Macaca fascicularis: one gene and its partners. The protein of the gene in region 2 interacts with the protein of the main gene of each other region in a pairwise test. Links are inferred from orthologs where the notes say so. Each region holds a gene or a part of one and is shown on either strand. Other genes may lie near its edges.

Evidence for each region.
Region 1: the proteins of SALL2 (region 2) and CEP76 interact in binary tests that used the Homo sapiens proteins (3 or more experiments, as listed by UniProt). The two-hybrid records come from large-scale screens. The link is inferred for Macaca fascicularis from reciprocal best matches to the Homo sapiens genes SALL2 and CEP76.
Region 3: the proteins of SALL2 (region 2) and ZMIZ2 interact in binary tests that used the Homo sapiens proteins (3 or more experiments, as listed by UniProt). The two-hybrid records come from large-scale screens. The link is inferred for Macaca fascicularis from reciprocal best matches to the Homo sapiens genes SALL2 and ZMIZ2.

What each region holds. Positions count from the first base shown.
Region 1 is NC_088392.1:80,746,106-80,750,223, forward strand, and holds part of CEP76 (centrosomal protein of 76 kDa), read right to left. Parts: intron 2,243-4,118; coding exon 2,054-2,242; intron 1-2,053. UniProt on the Homo sapiens protein: Centrosomal protein involved in regulation of centriole duplication. Required to limit centriole duplication to once per cell cycle by preventing centriole reduplication.
Region 2 is NC_088381.1:89,210,443-89,215,339, reverse strand, and holds the start of SALL2 (sal-like protein 2), read left to right. Parts: upstream 1-1,979; 5' UTR 1,980-2,287; coding exon 2,288-2,360; intron 2,361-4,897. UniProt on the Homo sapiens protein: Probable transcription factor that plays a role in eye development before, during, and after optic fissure closure.
Region 3 is NC_088377.1:85,573,891-85,576,843, forward strand, and holds the end of ZMIZ2 (zinc finger MIZ domain-containing protein 2), read right to left. Parts: coding exon 2,926-2,953; intron 2,105-2,925; coding exon 1,997-2,104; 3' UTR 952-1,996; downstream 1-951. UniProt on the Homo sapiens protein: Increases ligand-dependent transcriptional activity of AR and other nuclear hormone receptors.

The DNA of each region.
Region 1 (4,118 bases), on a different chromosome or scaffold from region 2:
AAAACTCCGTCTCATTTAAAAAAAAAAAAAAAAAAAAGGAAATCAGAAAGATTGTAGCAACACATAGAAAAATGTTCATAGCATAATGCTTAATTATAAAGCAAGATACAAAAATTTATTTACATTAATTATAATTATGGAATAAATGATACATATACAGGAGAAAAAATATAAAAAATGATAAACTGGGAATAGAATTATGGGTAAAGTTTCACCATTACTGTTAATGCTGTTGTTATATACATATACATACACACACACATATATGTGTATATACATATTTTAACTTGCTCTGTCGCCCCGTTTGGAGTGCAGTGGCGTGATCTCGGCTCACTGCAACCTCCACCTCCCAGGTTCAAGCAATTCTCCTGCCTCAGCCTCCCGAGTAGCTGGGATTACAGGTGCATGCTCCCACGCCCGGCTAATTTTTTGTATTTTTAGTAGAGACAGGGTTTCACTGTATTAGTCAGGATGGTCTTGATCACCTGACCTCATGATCCGCCCGCCTCAGCCTCCCAAAGTGCTGGGATTACAGGCGTGAGCCACCACACCCAGCGTAAAGATAGTTTTACTTGTTTGTTATCATACTATCAACATTTTTAGAATACAGATTAGGAAATATCCCATAATCTATAAAATTAGTTTACTGAAATCAAGTCATTCAAAAAGTGTAATTAAATATACATTTGTATGTAAAACTAAACAAAATAGCATGCCATTCAAGATTTCTTTTCTATATTCATTTTGTACTGCCATTTTATCTTTTTGTTTTTGTTTTTTTTTTGAGATAGTTTCGCTCTTATTGCCCGGCTGGAATGCAATGGCGCAATCTCAGTTCACAGCAAACTCTGCCTGCCAGTTTCAAGCAATTCTCCTGCCTCAGCCTCCTGAGTAGCTAGGATTACAGGCATGTGCCACCACGCCCAGCTAATTTTGTATTTTTAGTGGCGACAAGATTTCTCCACATTGGTCAAGCTGATCTCGATCACCTCAGGTGATCCGCCCACCTAGGCCTCCCAAAGTGCTGGGATTACAGGCATGAGCCACCGCACCTGGCCCCATTTTCTCTTTTTTAAAGATGTATTATCTGAGCAAATTTCAACACATCAATAGTACCAGAAAGCCATGGTCTGGTCCTGGTGCTGTCTCTAATTCATTCTGTAAGTTGATTTCTGACACTTTAGTACTTGTAGGTCCCTACATCACAGAAATCACAATAAGTTAAATAAGAAACCACATGAGAAAATAAAGATGCTGAGTTTTTTGTGTATTGATATTTAAATGTTATGAAAAACAGAACAAGGTTCTGACGTGGTCAAGTTGATAGCACAGCTGTCTCACGGTACCCAAAGGGGTTAGTTAGTTCCAGGACCCTTGCAAAAGAAAATCCATGGATACTCAAGGCTTATATAAAATGGTATACAGTTTTTTTTTTTTTTTTTGAGATGGAGTCTTGCTGTGTCCTCAGGCTGGAGTGCAATGGCGCAATCTTGGCTCACTGCAACCTCCACCTCCCAGGTCTAGGCGATTCTCCTGCCTCAGCCTCCTGAGTAGCTGGGATTACAGGCACGTGACACCACACCCAGATAATTTTTTGTATTTTAGTAGAGATAGGGTTTCACCATGTTGCCCAGACTGGTCTTGAACTCCTGACCTCAGGTGATCCACCCGCCTCAGCCTCCCAAAATGCTGGGATACAGGCATGAGCCACTGCACCCAGTCAAAATGGTATTTTACATATAACCTAAGCACATCCTCCTATGTACTTTAAATCACCTCTAAATTACTTAAAAATCTCAATACAATGTAAATGCTACATAAACAGTTGTTATACTCCATTGTTTTATATTTGTACTATTATTTATTATTGTGTTATTTTTCACTTTTATAAATATTTTTGCTCTGCAGTTGGTTGAATCTACAGATACAGAACCTGTGGGTACAGAGGGTTGACTATATGTACATTTTCCTAAGGCATTATTTTACAAATGGATTACAAATTCAGAGCAACTATGATATACTGCTACTTAATTCTATTATGTGTGTATAATACCTTGCTTCTACAGAGAAAGGCCAGCAGAGTGCACCACTGCTCCTGTTTACCTCCTCCTCCAATAACAGGGGCTCGTTCATAACCAAGGACATTAACAAATCTTGCTGCTTGCCTTGGAGTATCAAGAAGCCGTCCAGCTCGAAGTGGTTTAACGTAGGAACAGACTGGTCTATTTATCCCATTTTCATCCTAGGGAAAAGGGGAAAAACATCTGTAATGACATATTAATCATCCCCAGTTATAATATGTTTTTTTCAAATACATTAATGTAGGATAAAATAATTCAGCATACCATTGATTGAGTGCTTACCTTGTATCCGGTATTAGGCTGCAAAGTGCTGTGTATATAATTTCCCTTAATCCTCATCTCTCTTATTTTCATTTTATAGATGAAAACTGGGGAGCTACAGCTATCTAGCTCTGAGCGGTTTTACTCCAAAGGCTGTGGCAATAAGAACTCCGCTGAGAAACGTGTGGGCAGGTACGTAGGGGAGGGAGAGGTGCTCTAAGCTGAAGCATTCTTTCACATTACCATATAGAATTTAACAATATATAGCCAGACAGAACAAGTAACTCTTCTGATTGGCTCATATAATAGAAATGATCATAGCTTGGTTCTAGTTTGTTTCCGTTAGTGCCTCAAATTTAGAGATCCACAGGAAACAATAATTTGTTAACCAAGTCAACAGAAAGCAAAATTTCAAAAAACACTCTAGAAAAAGTTTTACGTTCTAAATACAGGATGTATCTTGGTGTTGGTGCTGAATAACTTGTATGCATATATAGGTCTCTGATGACTGTCTACCACTGTGATTTTACAGTTAGTATTACCAAAGCCCACAATCTCTTTACCTTCCTGGTTACTGACACGGCACTGTAAAAGGGCCACTTACTCTTCAACATTTGGAGATGACCTACCCTCTCTGGTAGGGCTCCTCAGGACATAAGATCTAACCCAGCCAACAGAAACACCATCTGTCTGAATTATCAGGACCACTAATGTCTTTCTCCATAACCAAAACATCTTTTTCCAATATAGTCCCATACTTCAGCAAGGGAAAAAAAAAATCTCACTTATTTACATTTGATTATAGTGAGAAAGATCATAAATTTTTATGTTGCAGAGCAAATTGGCTATAGATTCCTCTCATACCTATAGTTCTCAAAAGTAGAAGGCATCAGTTTTTTTTTGTTTTTTTTTTTTTTTGAGACAGTCTCACTGTTGTCCAGGCTGGAGTGCAGTAGCGTGATCTCAGCTCACTCCAACCTGCACCCCTCCAGGTTCAAGCGATTCTTGTGCCTCAGTCTCCTGAGTAGCTGGGATTACAGGTGTGCACCACCACACCTGGCTAATTTTTGTATTTTTGTAGAGAGAGGGTTTCACGATGCTGACCAGGCTGGTCTCAAACTCCTGACCTCAAGTGATCCGCCCGCTTCAACCTCCCAAAGTGCTGGGATTACAGGCATGAGGTACTCTGCCTGGCCTAGAGGGCACTGATTTTTAAAACAGAGGATTATTATTCTAATTTTGGGGGGATATAGAGAACTCTGATTTTCTTTTACATGAACTTAGCATTACTAATAATCTACTGTTGTATAAGAATACTAAGTCCTGAAATCACAAATTAAATATTAAAAGGATATCCTCAATGCTCAAGTGATTTACAACATTTTCTTAAAACCTAGTGGCCTTAAAGTTCAATTTCTGTAACTTATTTTAAGGTTTTTTGCACTAAAAAGTTCAAAAGGAATCAATGAATTACTATTATATTATAGCAAAACCAGCTAACAAAGGATAAAAAGAATAATGAATTATTAAGTATGATGGCCACGGTGAATCTACAGATCTTTGGTTAGGACTGAGGTGTAGGAATGTTACTCCTATTCTTACAAGTCCACTAACAGGCAAGAAAAGATGAGTACATAAGAAGTGGAAGCATTTGCCTAAGTCAATCATCAATAGTAGCATCTTAGAATGTAAGATACATCATTTTATTATAGCAATATTCTAATATTATCTAAATATATCCCCACAAGCTAAAAAATAAAAAATCGTTAACCAAGT
Region 2 (4,897 bases):
AGAGTCCTTCCTTTCACAATAAGACCCACAAGAAGGAGGGGGAAAAATAGGAAAAGATGAAGATAGCCAAGATTCAGGAAAAAAGACAAATGTGGACCCTGAAATCTGCTCCCTTGGAGATTTCAGACTCCTGAGAGAAGCAGAAAGCTATGTTCCTTCTCTCCTTTCCTTTCCTGGAAGGAAATAAATGATGGAAACAGTGGGGTGAGAGGATGACAGGACTCAGTCTATTCCATGGAGGAATTAGAAGTTTTCCTAGGCTCAGTACCCCCATTTCTCCTACAATGGTCTAGTGATAAATAATGACACCTGTCTACCACAGGGAAGTTAACAGGATGAATTAGATAATGTCAGCCACAAGAGTTCCAAGGGTAGACTTGAGAAAACCACCCGGGGCCCTGACACCAAAGGACTGGATAAATAATGGAGATTCAGTGAACTCCAAAGCAAAGATGAGAGCATTTTCCAAAACTCTTCAGATGTAATGTGGATACCTGCCTCAATTATTACTAGCAGCACCCCCTGCCACCTGCTGTCTCCCTTTTCCTTTCTTAGTATTACCAAACTAGCCTGGAATCGTGTAAGGGAAGAAATGCATAAACCTTCAAATTTGCAGCCAAACCTGTGAGTGAGCTTTATTTTGCTTTTCTCTGCAGATAAAGCCATCAGAGATTTACATTACTAACCCTAAAAGGGGAAAATACTTCCCACTTTTCCAACTGATAGCGTTTCAGATGCTATCTCAGCCAGAAGAGTAAAACAGAAATCACGCTAAAATAAAGGGGCCCAGGCATTATTGCCAGAAGATAGGGCATATCCAGAATATTCTATGCACAGTAGCTCAGTAGCACTCAACTACAGGTAGGAACATCACAGTCAGAAGTTAAAGAAAAATAAATGAATCACCCTCAGTGTGCAGGCTGAGCAGGAGATACTTGGTTGTTGCCAAACAATGTATTGTGGAGATGGAGGGATTCTTTTTTTTGAGACGGAGTCTCGCTCCAGGCTGGAGTGCAATGGCGCGATCTCAGTTCACTGCCACCTCTGCCTCCCAGGTTCAAGGGATTCTCCTGCCTCAGCCTCTGGAGTAGTTGGGATTACAGGCACCCACCACTATGCCCAGCTAATTTTCGTATTTTTAGTAGAGACAGAGTTTTGACATGTTGGTCAGGCTGGTCTCAAACTCCTGACCTTAGGTGATCTGCCCACCTTGGCCTCTCAAAGTGCTGGGATTACAAGCGTGAGCCACCGCGCCCAGCCTAATTTTTGTGTTTTTAGTAGAGATGGGGTTTCACCATGTTGGCCAGGGTGGTCTCCATCTCTTAACCTCATGATTCGCCCACCTTGGCCTCCCAAAGTGCTGAGATTACAGGTGTGAGCCACCATGCCCAGCCATGGCTATTTTAAATGAGATTCCTTGAGATCAATCACTTTTTTTTTTTTTTTTCATGATAGCAGTTTGGTGGCATATTGTGTCTTTACTGATATAGAGGAAACAATGTTAGGCTACTGTCAGATGCACCTGGATTCCAGGCCTGTGTCTGATACATCATAGCTGTGCAACTTTGGAGAGGTTACTTAACCTCACTGGGCCTTTTGATTCATCTATAAAGGGGCTCAACTATAAGTTGGAGTAGGAAAGCCTACTGTGTTCATCTTGGAGTTATAATATTCAAAATACATTACAAATGAAAATATTCTATAAATTATAAAGAGCTATACATATATTACTCATAATCAGGACACATCAGAAGGTTCTTATTTCAGTTTATACCCCAGAAGCAGCTACATTATCAGAGGGGCATAGAAATATGACAGAACCAAAAAGCACAGTGAAGATCTTGGAAGAAGAGTTAGAGAAACAAGCCAGGGACAGTTTCTGAACAGACAGCACAGGGAGAGACCCAGAGCTCTTGCAGGGAGGAGAGGGTTAAATCCTTTCCTCTGCAGTACAAAAGAAAAGAGTGTGCGGAAAGATTAGGATTTTTGCTTTTACAATGGGAGCTGCAGAAGCGTAGGGAAGAAGCTGAAGAAAAAAAGGGGGCGTCTCCCCTTTAAAGACTTGCAAAGATTGAGAGAGAAAGAGAGAGAGAGTCAAGAACAGAGAATCAGAGAGAGAGAGAGAGTCTGTCTGTCTCTGGGAAAGGAGAACATCTCTGCTTCACAGTGATTTGCGCTGGGGGAGAGGCATCAATTGGCTTCGGACCCAAGGGGGAGAGGAGACCAGGTCACCCCGGTTAAGACTAAGTGAGCGTTGCCCCTCCCTCTCCCAACTCTCTACCCGGGAATGTCTCGGCGAAAGCAGCGGAAACCCCAACAGTTAATCTCGGACTGCGAAGGTCCCAGCGCGTCTGAGAACGGTGGGTGCCTGGGGAGGGGTGGGGGGCCCCTAAGTCCAAGCCTGTGTGGGTCAGGCCAGGGCAAGGGGAGGGCACTCGGGCCATGGGCGAAACCAGGCGGGGGCGGACTTGGTCACTGGGGGTTTAAAGGAGTTGAGATGCAGGGAGTAAAGAGATGACCTGCGCTGGGGAGAAGCCCCGCTTGTTACTTGGGATTGATTCTGTTTGTGTTTTCCTTGTTTTTCTCTGGATGAAATGGAGTTTTCAAACTGGCTCTGTCTCCCCACCCAAGAGTTTTCTCCTCAGGTCTCCCTTGGCTCACTGGTCTTTGTGCCGTTGCTAAGTAACGTCCTCAGACCTGAAGACCGTCTCTTAGGGGTGGGATTTTCCCCCCTTTTCTTTCTGGAGAGTTGGGTTGCAAGAGAATGAATTGGATAAACGTGAAGGCTCCCCTGAGGGAGATGAGAAAAAAGTTTCTCATTGTTGGGCTGAACTGAGAGCCGATCAGAGCTCCCAGAGGGAGAGAGCTAATGTCGGTCAGAATGCAGCCTGGTTTGGGGTATGTATGTGTGTCACCTGGAGGAGAGCTGAAGGCTAGGTCTGGATGAGGGGCTTAGGTTTGTGCTTCAAGGAAAGCAAAGCAAAAAAAAAAAAAAACAAAAAAAAAAAAAAAAAAACAGTGCAAGAAAATACACCTGTTACTACGCGCGTATCATTTTATGAGGATACCGTGTTTTTGAAGCAACAGGTGTCCCTTATGAGGGGGAAAAAATTGTATGTATTCTTGTAACATTCCGTTAAGTGACAGGCAGACAGTAGAGCAAGCAGGGAACTGAAGAGTGAAATTGCCCAGAGTCTGAGAGACAGAGGCAAAATCAGGACAAAAACTTAAATTTCCTAATGCTCAGGGCTGGTGGTGCTCACTCCACTAAACCTGGGTTTTAAAAACTTGCCTGATTGTGAGTACATCTGAGCCAGGGTGTGGGAATCTATATATTTTGCAAGTCTCCAGGTAATTCTTAGGATCAAAGAAGTTTTGGACATACTTGTCAGTGGTATGGCTCCATATGTGCAGACTGAAAGTCTGGAAGTCCTGGCTCCAGAGAGGCAACTGTTCAGCATACAGTTGATACACCCAACAGTATAGTATAGGATTAAGCACAAGGGTTCTGAAACCAGACTTTTAGACAAATCCCAGCTCCACCACTTGGTTAGCTATGTGACCTTGACTGGTTTATTTTGTCTCTCTATGCTTCAGTTTCCTCATCTGTAAAATGGAGATGTGTATACTAGCTACCTCATTAAGTTGTTGTGAAAATCAAAATGAGTTAATATGTGTAAAACCCTTGGAAAAATACCTAGCATAAATAAGTGCTTAATACATGTAGTAAAGTACCTAGCATAAATAAGTGCTTAATACATGTAGTAAAGTACCTAGCATAAATAAGTGCTTAGTATGTGTGAATATTGTTATTATCATTATATGTGAATGCAGTGGCACTTCCTGCAAGTGCTGTAATATGACCAAAACTCAGGAACCTCTTGGCAAATGTCAGCATTTCTTTATGAGACATGTGTCATGAAAAGCTCCAAGATAGTGTATTGGTGGCGATTAAAATTATAGATTAAACTTGCCTTTCCACCTGTTAAAAAACAAAAGCTTGAGGTCAGATCAGTGCTCCATGTGCTACAAAATAACCTTAACAGACATATTATGTTTTGGGCAGAACACATCCTCCCCGAATCACTGCTTTTCTGGGATCCTACTGTGCCCATATTTAGAGGTTCTGTGGCGATGGCATCCTTCCCTCCTGAGACACATTAGCCCTTCTTAATGCTGCTATAGGCCGGATGTTTCCTACTTGTGCTCTACAGGAGACTTCCCCTAGAGCCTCAACTCTTCCCCAGAGTTGCCTCACAGTTCTGCTCTCCTGCTGGTTTGATTGTGGAACTATGCTGAACACCCCTCCAAGCCCCCAAGAAGCATCCTCTCCTCTTCTTCCTACTTCTCCCATCTGCTCACCCATTCCCCATACCATAGCTGAGGAAAAATCTTCTGTGAGGGAGTCAAAAACTATCTTTAGCAGCTGTCCTGAATGGATTTTCAAGCCCTTTAAGATATAGCTCCCACTTGGAGGCATGGTAATGCTGCTACAAAGTCATCCCCATAGAAACAGTAAAGCTTTAAACCCAATGGCATCAACAAATTTTTGATGAAAATTTGCCTTTGAGCTCTGAAAGGCAGAAACAAATGTAAGGAGCAAGGAAGCAGTAGTACCCTCTGTTGAGATCTACCTTAAGAAAGCTCATCGGAATTCCCCTGGAGCGAAAGATCCTAGGCTACTTATGATCTGGATGTCATTGGGCCTCATCTGCAAAATGAGGTGGCTCTATTTTATCGTATCTGAAATTCCTCCTTGATCTTACAAGCTTACAATATGTAAATTTCACATTTTCTGCTTTTCTTTTAAATTAATACATTTCCTTAATCATGAATGGGGCAGCATCCATTCTACAAAATAGAATGAGAGCTCTCCTTTTCCCTAATTTTTTATAGA
Region 3 (2,953 bases), on a different chromosome or scaffold from region 2:
GGGGCAGGTGGTGCATCAGATGTTCAGGACACAGTTGTTTGACACCCAAGAAAGCAGGGTCCGGGACCTGGATCAGGCCATGGCTGAGTGGGACAGCACTGGGCTGTCTCCACACCCAGCACCAGGAGTGTGTGCACTGCTGCTTCTTTTGTTTCCTCCACTTCTGTTCCCTCGTCCAGAGAGGGCAGAAGAGCTGGAAACAGAGACTTTGTCAGGAAACAAGGAAGCCCACCTGTGTGGTCCCAAATGTTGCAGGAACAATGCTCACACCAGACACCTTCCTCCTTCTCCCTGCAGCTTCTGGGCTCCCACAGACAGATGCCCTCCTCTAGTGCCTCAAGGGGCAGGCCTTGGCTGCCAGCCTGAGGATGCCCAGAGCTCCCCTCCTCCCCTAGGTTCCCATGTTCCCCCAGTTCTTGCCTCTCCTGCTGGCTGGCTGGGAAGGCCCTCAAGGATGGGGCCCAGGACAGGAGGAAAGGGTGACCCAGACCCCCACCAAGCTGGACAGGCAGATGGTAGGCAGGACACACCTCTGCAATCTCTGGTAAGTGACAAGCAGAGGCCTCCCAGGGACAAGAGCTGAGAAGGAGCCCCTGGCTGGGCTGGGACTGCCAAACAGCTGGCTCAGTGCCCCAGGGCAAGCCCAGATAAGGTGACATAGTGGCAAATGTCTCTCCTGGGCAAGCCTGGAACGCTTCACAAAATAGCTCTTCAGCTGAAGCCAACTTGGAAAATTCCAGGGAAAAGGAAATTTACTATGGGGCGGGAATAGCTGAGCCTTAGCTTGGAACATCCAGAGCTCAACCTGGGGTCCCAAAAGCCACTAGAAGGTCGACCCAGCCCCCAGAGCCTGCACAGGCTTTGCAGGCACAGAGGCCCAAGCTTTAGGCAGGTCGCTGGCTTACAGGGGAGAAAATAGTCCCTGGGAGCATGAAGGAGGGACTCGGCCAGGCCCACCAAGAGGGAGTCCTTTAATAGAGATCGGCACAGACAGGAGACACAACAGCCCGGGCGCCCTGCTCGCACAGGCTGGGGCCCTGAGCCAACAGATGCAGTGGCTTCCTCCTCCCCACCTGGGTGTGGAACCATGGGGTGGAGACGGAGAGGTGGCTTTAAAAAACACAGCTGTACTAATTCTTCACTTTCACAGAAACGGGGAACTTGGGAGCGCAGCCCGCTAGAGAATCTTTATACAGAGCTGAATCTGAGAGCCCACCCACCCCCCTTGGCCGGGCCAAAGCTCATTGTCCCCCACCCACTGGAGGTTCCTCCCTGATCTGTCTGCACATGGGAAGGAGCAGAGTGCACAGGGAGACCGGGCTGTACAACAGGAACATGCTGGCTGGACAGCTGGCTCCCCTTTCCCAGCTGTTAGTGTTTCTACACTATGTACATTGTTGTGCTTTGTAGCTCCCCCACCCCGAGGATTCTGCCTGAAGCTGGGGTGGGGAGAGGAACCCGACACGACACACGGCTGGGCTGCCAGAGCTCCAGGCCCCCAAGAGGCTGCCATTCAGCGAGGTTCCAAGAGCTGGACTGCCAGGCACAGGGACCACTGGAGCCAAAGGCGCAGGGGACAGAGCCAGCCCCGCCAGATGCCCAGCTCTGCCCAGTGGAGGAGTTGTTGAAACAGAAGGATCAATGCTGGACAAGAAGCAGGCTGGGCGGGGGCAGGCAGGGGTGGAAGGACAAGGTGTGAGGCTGTGAGACCAGGGGTGTGAGGTGTGCGTGGACAAGGCTGGAGAGGGCTGGGCAGGGGCACCTCAGCAAAAACCGTTCTGCAGCAGCAGGCTTGGTAGAGGGAGGTGGCGAGGGCTGCCGGGCTGGGAGCCCCTCCAATCGAGCACAGGGCTGGCGGCAGAAGGCTCTGGCTCCAGGTGTGTTTTGGGGGAGGTTTGGGAGAGACCACCGGGTGTCTCAGGGGGCTGGGCATGAAGGGCAGGGCTGTGGTGACATCTGTGAGCGTGTCCCCGCCGGGCCTGGGGTAAACACAGGATCAGTTGTTCTCAAACAGAGAGAGCAGGTCGTCATTGTTGTTTGTGGGGAGGTCGGGCGGTCCCAAGTAGGACAGTAGCTCATCAGGGTTGGTCAGTTCTGGGAGCAGCTGAGGACAAAGTGAACTATGTTAGCAGCTTTGGTCACTGGCCACACCTGAGTGACCATCCTGTCACCACATCCCATCCAGGTGCAGTGGGGATGCTGAGCAGCCCCTCCCCACACACAGGCTGGGTGCGGGGCCCCACTATAGGCCTGCATGTGCTCAAGGAGGCACACGCCACCCCCGGGACCTCCCTGCAAGGCTGCTGAGGCCAGAACAGCTCGCAACATGCTGTTCAATACCACCAGGAAATGGGATGTGAGGGAGCACAGCCACTCCACACATTCTCTGTGCACCGGCCTGCGTGGGGATCCCCACCGTGATTCCCCAAGGTGAATGCTGGTGGTGGAATTCCATGCCCCTAGGATTTTCTGCTTGGAGCTGTTCTTCCTAACTTTTTTCATGTTGAACTTCAATGAGTTTCTATTATGGTCCAGGGACAGTCAGTCCTGTCTTCCATGTACTGAGTGTGCACTCCCATTCTACCTGTGAGTCAAGGCCCAGGGCTACTGAGCAAATGGACAGATGAAATCTGACTCAAAGGACCGTGCTGTCAGCTTCCAGCACAGTCTCCTCTGAGGACTCTGCGTCGCCCGTATGGCATCCAGGCCCCTCATGAACACAAATGTGGTACATCGCATCCCACCCACAGCTACTCCAGGTATCTGACTCGTGAACAAAAGCTGCATTTAGTTGATCTCATCTGACCGGCTCTCTGAGGGGTCACTGTCTTCCCTTCCACAACACACTCGGAACCCAGGGACAACAGACACACCACCTCTAGCCCTGGCTCCCACGCACTCCCTGGCATGGGGCCTGGTACTCACGTCCAGAGCTGGTTCCGGGGCCTCCCCA